3 linked regions of the Arabidopsis thaliana genome follow. The protein of the gene in region 2 interacts with the protein of the main gene of each other region in a biochemical or structural test. Each region holds a gene or a part of one and is shown on either strand. Other genes may lie near its edges.

Region 1 (3,756 bases), 4.5 Mb from region 2:
ATATATTCTGTATTAACTATTAACCCCCCATTTTTTTGTTGTTTCTAATCATCTACCTTCGTCCATTCAAACCGTCCTGGTAGTGGTTGTTCGTTCACAGGATCAAAGTTGTACCTGAAGAAAGAGTTGACAGAAACCATTAGAGACACAAGACCAAAAGAGAAGAACAGAACAAACTGGAAACTCATAACCAAAAGAACAGAACAGATGAAACGAGGAAACACATACTTCTCAATGAATTGCTTCTGTTGTTCTTCTTCAGCACCCGAGAAAAACTCGTCCATTTCAGGTGTAGTTGGTCGGCGACGATGGCTGCGTGACAAACTGTCTTCTCTCTGGTTGCTTTCACTTACACAAATGTTAAGCTTTGTAGACGATCCCGGGGTTGTCATGATTTCAGGCCTTCTTATCAAACTGCATGGTGTGGATTCCCTTGTGGTCCTGTTGAAGCTGAGAGTAAGTAATATGTTACTTTCATACAATGCTCTCAAGGAAAAAGCACATAACCGTGTTTCCTTAATTAGCAGCAAAAGCAAGCAAACTTTATTGCATATAGATAACTAAAACTAAGCAAGTCATGTTTAACTGAAAAAAGGACAAGGAGAAACTCCTTGTTGATTTGTGGTTCAAAGTTCACAAAGCATAAAACCAAAGAAGAAACTTCCAATGAAGATTACTTCAGCAATGCTTGAAAAGTTAATGACTCATACAATGTTCAACAAGATCACGACTTTAGACTGAAATCATAACATCAAAAAACAACCAAACAGCAAGAAAAATTAAAAGACAGAGAAACTAGAACTTAAGATGTTACAGAGACACATCATATACTTTGCAGAATCCCAAAAACGAACCAAACTTTAAAGAGTTACTTACAGAGACATTTCAAACACAAATCCAACATTCTTTACATGAAAGCAGATAAAAAGTCTGAAGAAAAAACAATAGTCACTATCACCTTCTTCAAAGTAATTGAAGAAAAAATAAAAACTTTCTCAAGAAAAAAGAAACACATTTTTGATTAATTATATATATTTTCTTTCCCGGAAACAGAGAGAAGAGTCTGGTGTTGTCAGATAAAGAAAAGATGGCATCATATCATACACATGGTAAAAATATCATTAAATTTCAAAATCGAAAACGCCAGTTTCAATTTTAACCAAATACAAGACAAAAAATTGATCCTTTTTTCAAATTAACAACGGAAATTTTCAAATCCAATACCAAAGTTTTCTCAAGAAACAGAACAAATTCACACAGATTCATAAAAATAAGAAATCCCCCAAAAAATTAGGTTGAAATTGATGAAGAAAGATGATACCTTTGAGTGTGTTCTTCTTCAAGGTCGAAGAAATTTTGGCCAAAGGTTGGATCTTTATTGATTTCAGAAATCAAATCCTTGTCTTTACCAAAGACAACACTTTCAGAAACAGAATCAGACCTAGACCCATCACCACGAATCGAATCCAAATTACTCCTAGGGTTAGGGTTTCTTCCGCATGTCTCATTCCTCCGTTGCTGTTTCCTCCGTTTAGTAGAACGAATCACAACAATTGGTGGTTTCTTCTGAAGCCGACGACTCCGTAGCTGAAGATACGAACCACAATCGTTCATCTGCTGCTGCTTCTTCTTCATCTTCTGCTTTGACGGTGGATTAGGAGAAGCAGAAGTCGGTGGTAACGAAGAAGGAGAAGAGGGTTTTTGAAGAAGACAGCGTTGTTGTTGTTGTTGAAGAGCTAGAGATTTAGCTCGAGTTAAAACACCAAGTGAAGAAGAGGAAGAAGGTGAAACAACATCCATTAAAGCAATAGAGGATTCACCTCCACCTCCGCCTCCACCTCCACCACCAGCTCCAGCTCCAGCTCCGTCGATTTTGCTCTTTCTTATGTATTTCCCCATTTTCCGTTAGCTTTTCATCAGAGAGAAAGAAAGAGAGATTGGGAGGTGTGAGAAAAATCGGAGTTAGGGTTGTGAAGATTAGTGCTCTTTGTGGGGTCTCTCTCTCTCTCTCTCTCTCTCTCTCTCTCTCTCTCTTTTTTTGTGTGTGTTATTTTTTTTTTCAGGTGGCTGCTTCTTCACTACTGTGAGTAATGTACTTTGCTATTTTTTCACTTTAGTTTTTAAAAAAAAAAAATATTTTAGAACTTGAGTGTAATAATTTCGATATTTATAAATAGAAATGATGACATATATTTTTATTTATAAATTTATTATTTTTTTCCACATTTATAAATTATATTTAAAATAAAAAAATTTGAGTTAGTTGGGTTCAAATATGTGTCACAGCGTTAGAAAAGATTGAACGGTTACACAACCTGAATTAATTCAAGGATCGTATTTTGCTCTACTTTTGTGTATTTTACTTACCTTAGGATAAAAAGTTTTAAATCTAGTTGAGGTAGAGATTGGACGAATTTGGAATGTCAACTTCTACTTCTCTACTAGGCTTATGATGTTTGACAATTTTATTTTTATTGTTTTCTGCGAATTGCTTGGATAATGTAGCATAAGATATTTAGCCTTTGTAATATTGAGAATATACTGATGAATCTAATGACTAGATTATATAAATTACAAGAGTTAGATGATTATGAAAGTTTAAGCAGTTTTGAGAATTGGGAAGGAGTAGGAGTATTTTATATCTTATAGTATTGTATAAAGGTTTGAGTAGGTATATATTATCGATTGAGAAACTAAAGATAACTTAAATTAATGATTCATTCAACCACTCAACTGTTACAAAAAATAAGTTCATGTTTAAGAAAAAAGTACATTTATTTTAGACCAAAAAAAAAAAAGTACATTTATTTTAGTTTTTCCAAGTTAGACGTGTTTGTAAATTGTAAACAAACACAAACGTAACCGTGCTTTTTACTTCTCCTTATGTTTCACATTTCCGTTTTCTATATATAATATCGAGTTTTTCTTTTTTTTTGAGTTGAAAGTTAAATTTATTCAAACCCAAAAAAACTATTTTTACAATAAATGTTACAGTGATGCTGAAACAAATAATTTTGAAAGAGAGGCAGAGTCATTCAAGAAAGATGCGGTTATATTAGAAGTTCAATAAGTAACCCAGAACAAAGACAATTTAAGCCTAAGCAGATAATAAACTCATCCTTAATCCTAAGTTTTAACGTACGAGTACTTTCAATGTGCATGCTTAGAGTTTTGTATTCATCTTAAACCAACTTAATGTATGCAGTGTCATTATAAGATATTCGTAAAGAGACCTTAAAAACAAGCGTTTGGCTGATTATAAGAAATTATTATTCAACAATGTAGTTGGTCTAGAGAAATTACTTACATCTCTCTTTCACTCTAAACACTAGAGATCAAAACAACGAAGTAAAGAAGTAGGATCATTAGACAAAGATTGGAAATATCACAAGTCTCTTTGCTTTTGACATAAACAAACCCAATTTAAAAAAAAAACCAACTTATTAATGTAACATTAAAAAAAAAAAAAAAATTAGACCCAAAAAAAGTCCTGAGCTCTCTGCTATTTCTTCTTTTTTCCTTTTCTTTTCAGACGAACATAGAAATATTTCTACTTCCAAATCTTTACGGATTTGTCATGACTTGCAGACGCAACCACTCCCGTCGAAGGCGACTGAGCCAAGGCAGAGATCACACACTCGTGGCCTGCTACCGTCATACATTTGTTCTCCATTGTGTTCCACAGCTCTATAGCCTGTCACAGATTCGTTTACCAAAGTTAAAACAACTGAGAGACACATTCACCTCATCACACAT
Region 2 (3,756 bases):
TGCTGCGGTTCTGCCTAATCGATTGGAGAATTTGTATTTGTTTATCACATTTGTTTGATAACATATTGGTTCATTGTCTCACTCGGTGGTTAGCAAACACTTGAAAGTGGATTATGTTCCAAGCTTTTATGTATCTCCAGTCTCAGTTGGATGTTTTGTTAATAAATAAAATATGGCTCTTGCACAATGGGCATGAAACAATCTAGTACTTTACTTGGACTTCAACTGTCGTTACTTATGCTTTGCTTTCCCATAGAAAAATACAGCATATATATATAGTAGAAGCCAAAACAGAGCATAAAGATCACCATTTAAACAAAGCATATTAATGATAATATGATGATTAAACATATAAAGTATCAAACATCATAACATCATCATTAGCATCAACGTATCTCTTTTCATCTACTTAACTAACGCTACATTGAACACCAAATCTCTTTGTTTTCTTCCCACTAAAACAATGAAAATAGTACCAAACATTGAAAATCATCTACTCAAATTAAGAGGCAAATCATATCACTAGCTTTTAATCAAAAGTAAAAGCATAATCTTACCATTATCATTATCATCATGATTATATTCCATACATATTTTTGTTAATCACTACACCAAAACTATGCATTTTAGTATAGTTAGAACAGGGAAATCGTCCATAGAGCTGAGGTTTGGCACATTTGAAAATCTTTATGTTTTGTAGCATTTTTACTAAGTTTTGCTACATTGAATGACAAGTTCAACCAAAAATATTTACCAAAAAAAAAAAAACAAGTTGCTGTTCAACCAAATTCCCAAAAGTAAAAGTGGCAACGGTTGCAAAATTATTCCATCACACGGAAACGCAGCGTTTTAATATTTCCCTTGAAGACAATATAATGCCGTCTTAAGTCACTATCTGAATAACAGAGACATCAGCCAGTGAAGTGGCTGTTGATCAACGTGGAACACGTGCACGATACTTCTTTTATTAGTCATTAGCCGACAGTGGTCTCATAGCTTTCCACGTGGTGTGTTTAGAGATCGAGTTGATATTTTCAATTATTTATACTCTCAGGTCGTTGACAAGGTCGTGTGTCTATCGGAAGTTTGCAAAAGCTCCGGTGACTTGTCAACAACTGCTCCGTCACGTTCCGTCGATTTCAATCGTCTTTACATCCACTTGAATAGTTTTCGTGCATACATTATAGTAACACTCTTCTTTAATTTGCATAATGTATTAAGAATATACGAATGGCTTTTGACAATTGATTTACAAATAAAGTTTTCTAATTAAGTCAACTCCAGATTATTATTAGTTCTTGTCAACGAATGATACCAGTATTATAATTGTTTGTGAAACCCGTTATGATTATAGAATCTACAAATAGGAAACTTACATCTAAATTTTTCTTTACCAAGGAAACCTGATAACTAGATTCATATTTTTTTTTTTGTCATAAGATATTATTAAGGACTTAAAAAAAATAATTCCGAGAGAAATTATTTACAAAAGTGATATATAACTTAAATTTACATTTCTTTTTAGATTAATCATAATTATATCATATTTTAGATCCACTTAAATAAAATACAGTAAATACGCTATTCGACAACTGTAATCACATTCGAAAATTTCACGGGTAGTCGAAACCAAATCATCTTTGATAATAAACAATAATATTTTTTTTTTTTAAACTAAAAATAATAACTATTTAAAAGCGATAAACAAAACTAATTTTTTTTAACAATGTTTTTAGCAAAAATTTTACACGAAAATCTCATAATACTAACACTAAAATGAAAAAAAAAAGAATATTCAAACAATACCATATTATTTTTGTGATTTTTTCTTTAGTTAGTGGTGATACTAACATTCTTTTAACTTTACCTTTAAATTGCTAAGTTTTACAGCACCTTTTTTTTTGTTATTTTTGATTAATCCAAATAACAGGAAATATCTTCAGTAAAACAAATCTCATAATGTTAACACTAAAAAAGAAAACAGAAGGAGAAAAATTAAAAAGCGTTGTTTACTTTTTGTAATTTTGTAATTTGATTTAAGAACACGTTAACATCTACTACGCCACGTGTCAAAATAAACGTAAGACCGTCCGCATCGTAAACTTTCCTCCTTCTCCTTCTATAAAAGTTACCAGACCAGACCGTCGATATAATACGTCATCAGCCACGTCATCGACACCGACACGTGTCGGTAAAAAACCCACACGCCACATGATCCATTGGCTCGTTCGGTGTTAGCCACCGGTCTTCTGATTCCTCTCTCTCTCTTTCTTCAATTCTTCTTCTCTGTTCCCCCAAAAATATTGGGCGCAAAATCTCTCTCTCTCTCTCTCTTCGAGGAAGAAGAAGAAAAAAAAAGAAGCGAAAAGTCTTCTCCTGTTTAATTTATTTGAAAAACCCTAGCACAAGTCCGCCGTCTTTGGTTTGAAGAATCTGGGTATTGATTGATTTTGGCTTCTGGGTTAATCGCTTTTCATGTCAATTTCTCCGGTGAGTTTCGAATTTTCCGTTCTGATTTTGGTGTTTTTTTCTTTCTAATTGATTGAAATTGAATAGCTTTCTCTTTTTGTTAATCCCTGTTCATCACATAAATTTGAAAGCTTTTTGATTCAAGTATTGATTTTTGGAAACTTATGCTACTTTTTTTTTTGTTCTTCTTCTCTTCACAGCTTTTCTGAATCATTTTCGAATTGTCTCTGATGAGGTCTCGTTGAATAGATACAGACTTTGGTTCTCTTGTAATTGGTTGTGTTGAAAGCGCGTTTGGTTCACAATCAATGCCATATGGCTGAAGACAGCCTACGGGTTGGTATGATTTCATCTGGTTTGGCTGTTTTACTGAATGGTGAAGATGCTAAAGAAAATTCCTCGAAAGCTCGTATTGTTCCACATTTTGATTATTCTGGTCACCGGCCTTTAGAACGGACTATCGAATTCATATTTGGTTTAGCAGAAAAGTCGGTTGGTCCATTGGATGGTCAAGTAGACAGTAGCTTGATTAGAGCTGTGATTAAGAATCAGTTCTCGAAGCTTCATGGTGATTTGGATGTTTCAGTTAGTCAGAGAGAAGGAATCAGTGTAGTTCATCATGGTGTTGGACCTCCTATTGTTGGCCTTGAAGAGTTTAGCATATGTGGTGATATCAGGATTGTGAAGCCACCTCTTGTATTGGAGAGCTTAGCACTTTTCAGTAGCGCCAGGGCTAATGCTTGTATTTGGAAAGGAAAATGGATGTATGAAGTCGCTTTAGAGACCTCGGGAATTCAACAACTTGGATGGGCAACACTTGCTTGCCCTTTCACTGACCAGAAAGGTGTGGGTGATGCTGATGATTCATATGCTTTTGATGGTCGAAGGGTAAGCAAATGGAACAAGGAAGCTGAACCTTATGGTCAATCATGGGTTGCTGGGGATGTCATCGGTTGCTGCATAGATTTGAACTGTGATGAGATTTACTTCTACAGGAATGGTGTCTCCCTCGGGGCTGCATTTACTGGTATTAGAAAACTTGGACCTGGATTTGGGTATTACCCTGCTATATCTCTCTCCCAAGGTGAGAGATGCGAGTTAAATTTCGGCGCTTACCCGTTTAAGTACCCTGTTGACGGTTTCCAACCTCTTCAAGAAGCTCCAACTCGATTTTCATTTGCAACAGAGCTACTACGATGCTTCTCAAGACTGCTGGATAGGCCAGACCGCTCATTGGCTGATACATTAAGTCGACTGAGGAGATTTGCCTCAGTCGAAGAACTCTTT
Region 3 (3,756 bases), 610 kb from region 2:
AATCGAAATTGCTTCTATAGTTCTATTCCTAAATCGGTTTGTGATTAGATCGAGTTACGTATGATTCAGTTCAAGCGAATGACATATCTCGATAGAAAAATTTCTTAGTTCAAGCGAGTGACACATCTCGATAGAAAAATATATGAGAAAATTGGAACCTGATAAAAAAATGTATGTGCTTTTAAAATAAGATGGATTACATCAATCTTAATTTAATCAAATAAATATTATTACAATCACACTTGCAAGAAACTGAATATGACGAAACTGTACGTAAATACATATTCAGAAAAAAAAAGTCACCAGGCCAATCATATTTTCAACATGTAATCACATAGACGATGCTATTGTTCCTCTCCGTTAATTATGTACGGAATGTCCAATACCGGGGCTATGACCAGGTTCCGTAGGTCTGAAGGTATCAACCCCGTGGCTCGGCGGCGACTCAAGTGGCTCAGTCGGAGGTGACGACGACAATACAGAGCCACCAGCTCTGATTTCCTCAGACGTCGTTACGGTGAATTTGGTGAGTTTTCGGCCTTCAATTGAACCAACACTAATAGTCAAAAGAAAGATAAATGCAAAAACGTAAACATTAATCGTCGCCATTACTAGAAAAACCGAGACGAGAATTAGAAAAAAAAAGAAGCTAAATTATAATATTTAGTCGAAGGCGAAAATGTATTATGTATTGATGCATGAAACCTCTTGGACCATCTGATGTATTTATAGGGATGAAATTTTACATAACATGGGCGCAACACTTGAGGAGATAAATTAAATATTTAGGGGGTATTATTGGTTTATGATTTTAAAAGAACTTTAACGATTATGTAAAATCGTTTGTTATTCAATCAAGATTTTTAAAAAGTTTATTAAAGTTCTTTGTTATTAATTTAAGATTTATAAAAAGTTTTCTAATATCTTTATAAATCTAGGGTTATAGATTCATACTTTTTTGTAAAGTGAGTAAAAGTTTTATGTTATTCAATTAAAACAAAAGTCGTCTGCATGACCTTCATGTAAATTTCAGTCCCTTCTTTTGATTGAGAAACTAGGGAATTTTTTGGATTGAAAATTGCTTGGTGAGTTAAGGAGATCTAATCTTGATGCTCACTTTATTGCCAAGAGCGTAACAAAAAATGATCGCCGTTAATCGTATGTAGCAACTAGGTTTTCTTTTTGGTTAAAACAACTTTTTGAGGAAGAAAAAAATGCCTAGTGTAATACTGGTTGATCTAGAATGATTGTCCTTGATCCACATTTTTTTGTATGTTTGGTTGGAAATTATGAAGTATATATTTATCTTTCAGTGAAAAAAAAAATATTTTTAATTTTTAAAGCAAGACATGGTAATTTGAATGCACTCGCCACTCCATTTTGTTCATGCTTTGAGACAAAAACAAAACATAGAAAGGCTGACAAGGCCCATGGGAAGTGATGGAGGCCAAGTTTAGTTCTTAGAAACCTTTACTATATTATGACTTATTAAGCCCAATATATCACGATCGACACGTGCTGTTGACAACTTGACATCAGGCTAAGCAAATACGCAGGGATAACAAAAATATAATTTCTAGTGTCAGTTTTACTTTTACCTTATTTTACTCACAGGTACGTAGTTTTTAGGCTATCCGTAACAATCCACCTATACTATACACATAATCTATATATAGTCTCTATCCAATTCATTTTAAAGTAATATGAACTTTCTAATTTTACCTAAACTATAAAATTCATCCCAACTATACAAAAAGCTTGTCAATTATAATTTAAAACATTTTAAACGGTTTCGCGTAATGGCAAATCTGTGAATTACCAATAGATGAGAGGGTTTTTAAAATAGTTAGTTACACCACAATTATTACGCCTCCCGTTCCGTTAAGTCACCGTTTATAACCGACACGTGTCAATAAAACAAACCATCGGCATAAGTAACTCCATAACATCCAAATAACGGCGCCTCCAGTTTCCCCGTTAAAGATTCCCCGTCACTGTAACGGGACCACTAAAACACGCCATTTCTCTATCACACACAGCACAAAACTCAATCCTGACCGTTCAAAACCAAATTCATCATCTTTCTTTCTTCTTCTTCCTCATCCTCTCAATCATATCTCTCTCTCTCACAGAGATTGTGACTTCACGCACACGTAACCTAAATCGAAGATGGTGAGAAAATATAGAAAAGCTAAAGGAATTGTAGAAGCTGGAGTTTCGTCAACGTATATGCAGCTACGGAGCCGGAGAATTGTTTATGTTAGATCGGAAAAATCAAGCTCTGTCTCCGTCGTCGGTGATAATGGAGTTTCGTCGTCTTGTAGTGGAAGCAATGAATATAAGAAGAAAGAATTAATACATCTGGAGGTTATTTAATGTTGTTGATTCTAGATTCTTGTAACTGTATATGTATCATTTAATGTTAATGTATTTTTTTTTGAAATTTTGAAATTTTTGTAGGAGGAAGATAAAGATGGTGACACTGAAACGTCGACGTATCGACGGTGAGTGTTAAAAAAAAAACTGAAAATGATTTGAATTTTGAAGGTTTTATTATTTTCCCGGTTATTTATTTGACTCTCTCTTCAATAAATTTAGAATCTTGCTTGTGAGTTATTTTAGGGGTACGAAGAGGAAGCTTTTTGAAAATCTGAGAGAGGAGGAGAAAGAAGAATTAAGTAAATCCATGGAGAATTATTCATCGGAATTTGAATCGGCGGTTAAAGAATCGTTAGATTGTTGTTGTAGCGGGAGGAAAACGATGGAGGAGACGGTGACGGCGGAGGAGGAGGAGAAGGCGAAATTGATGACGGAGATGCCAACGGAATCGGAAATTGAAGATTTTTTTGTGGAAGCTGAGAAACAACTCAAAGAAAAATTCAAGAAGAAGTAAGTTTTTATTTTATTTTGTGAGTTTGATTTTTATAGATAATATATTTTTTATTCATAATTTAAAATTGATTTTGAGGTAAAATTAAGAGTGAGTTTATTTTTTTTTAATTAGGTACAATTTCGATTTCGAGAAGGAGAAGCCATTAGAAGGACGTTACGAATGGGTAAAGTTAGAGTGAAGAAGAAGAAGAAGTTTATGGTTTTTTTTTTAACTTTTTAGATTTTAATATTTCAGGGAATAAGTTAATTTTATTTTGTTGATTTGGAAATATAAGATTTGTAGGAGGAATGTTTTTAGAAGTACGAAATTGCACAGAAAAAGAAGAAAGCTTTTTAACAGATTTTAGAGCCCAGAAAAGTCGTGTCTTTTAGCTCTACTTTTACCTCTTCTTCGAATCTTGTGTATCTTTTAGCATATTCTTTAGTACATTTTTATGTTTTTGGTGACTGATAAAATTCTATCCCCACACAGGTACAACCACACTCATTTTTTTGTCTTCTCCGTTTTAATAATATTCAACCAAAAACATCAAATGCATTTTGGTAGATTATCTTACCGCCCTAAACGCTTAAAATTATTTTAGAATTTTATTTCTTACAACGTTTGATATGGATTAAAAAGTACTATGAAATTAGTTATTATTGTTCTACTACTTAAATTAACTAATCGACAATTTCAGTGCAGTTTTTTGTTGAACAAAATCGTACCAACCATGTCAGCTAACCACACCAACTAATTTTTTTGTTTCATATTCAGCACCGAATATGATTGAGCTCGACCAATCAGAATTTCAAGATGATTCTGTTATTCTTAAAGTTTATTGATTAATAACAAATCACAAACATTCTATCACACGAAACTTG

What was found.
Region 1: the proteins of RKP (region 2) and AT2G32710 form a complex in vitro, tested with the Arabidopsis thaliana proteins (one study listed by BioGRID).
Region 3: the proteins of RKP (region 2) and ICK1 form a complex in vitro, tested with the Arabidopsis thaliana proteins (one study listed by BioGRID).

What each region holds. Positions count from the first base shown.
Region 1 is NC_003071.7:13,871,639-13,875,394, reverse strand, and holds the start of AT2G32710 (Cyclin-dependent kinase inhibitor family protein), read right to left. Parts: upstream 2,034-3,756; 5' UTR 1,900-2,033; coding exon 1,322-1,899; intron 451-1,321; coding exon 229-450; intron 115-228; coding exon 45-114; 3' UTR 1-44. Other genes in the region: LUH (LEUNIG-like protein), read right to left, coding at 3,551-3,694. UniProt on the Arabidopsis thaliana protein: Binds and inhibits CYCD2-1/CDKA-1 complex kinase activity. May target specifically CDKA-1.
Region 2 is NC_003071.7:9,367,857-9,371,612, reverse strand, and holds the start of RKP (uncharacterized protein), read left to right. Parts: upstream 1-2,151; 5' UTR 2,152-2,490; intron 2,491-2,669; 5' UTR 2,670-2,784; coding exon 2,785-3,756. UniProt on the Arabidopsis thaliana protein: E3 ubiquitin-protein ligase that promotes the ubiquitination and proteasomal degradation of KRP1 and KRP2.
Region 3 is NC_003071.7:9,976,335-9,980,090, reverse strand, and holds ICK1 (Cyclin-dependent kinase inhibitor family protein), read left to right. Parts: upstream 1-2,000; 5' UTR 2,001-2,169; coding exon 2,170-2,367; intron 2,368-2,460; coding exon 2,461-2,504; intron 2,505-2,622; coding exon 2,623-2,889; intron 2,890-3,004; coding exon 3,005-3,071; 3' UTR 3,072-3,501; downstream 3,502-3,756. Other genes in the region: AT2G23440 (uncharacterized protein), read right to left, coding at 361-609. UniProt on the Arabidopsis thaliana protein: Binds and inhibits CYCD2-1/CDKA-1 kinase complex activity. Regulates cell division which is crucial for plant growth, development and morphogenesis. Functions in turning cells from a mitotic to an endoreplicating cell cycle mode.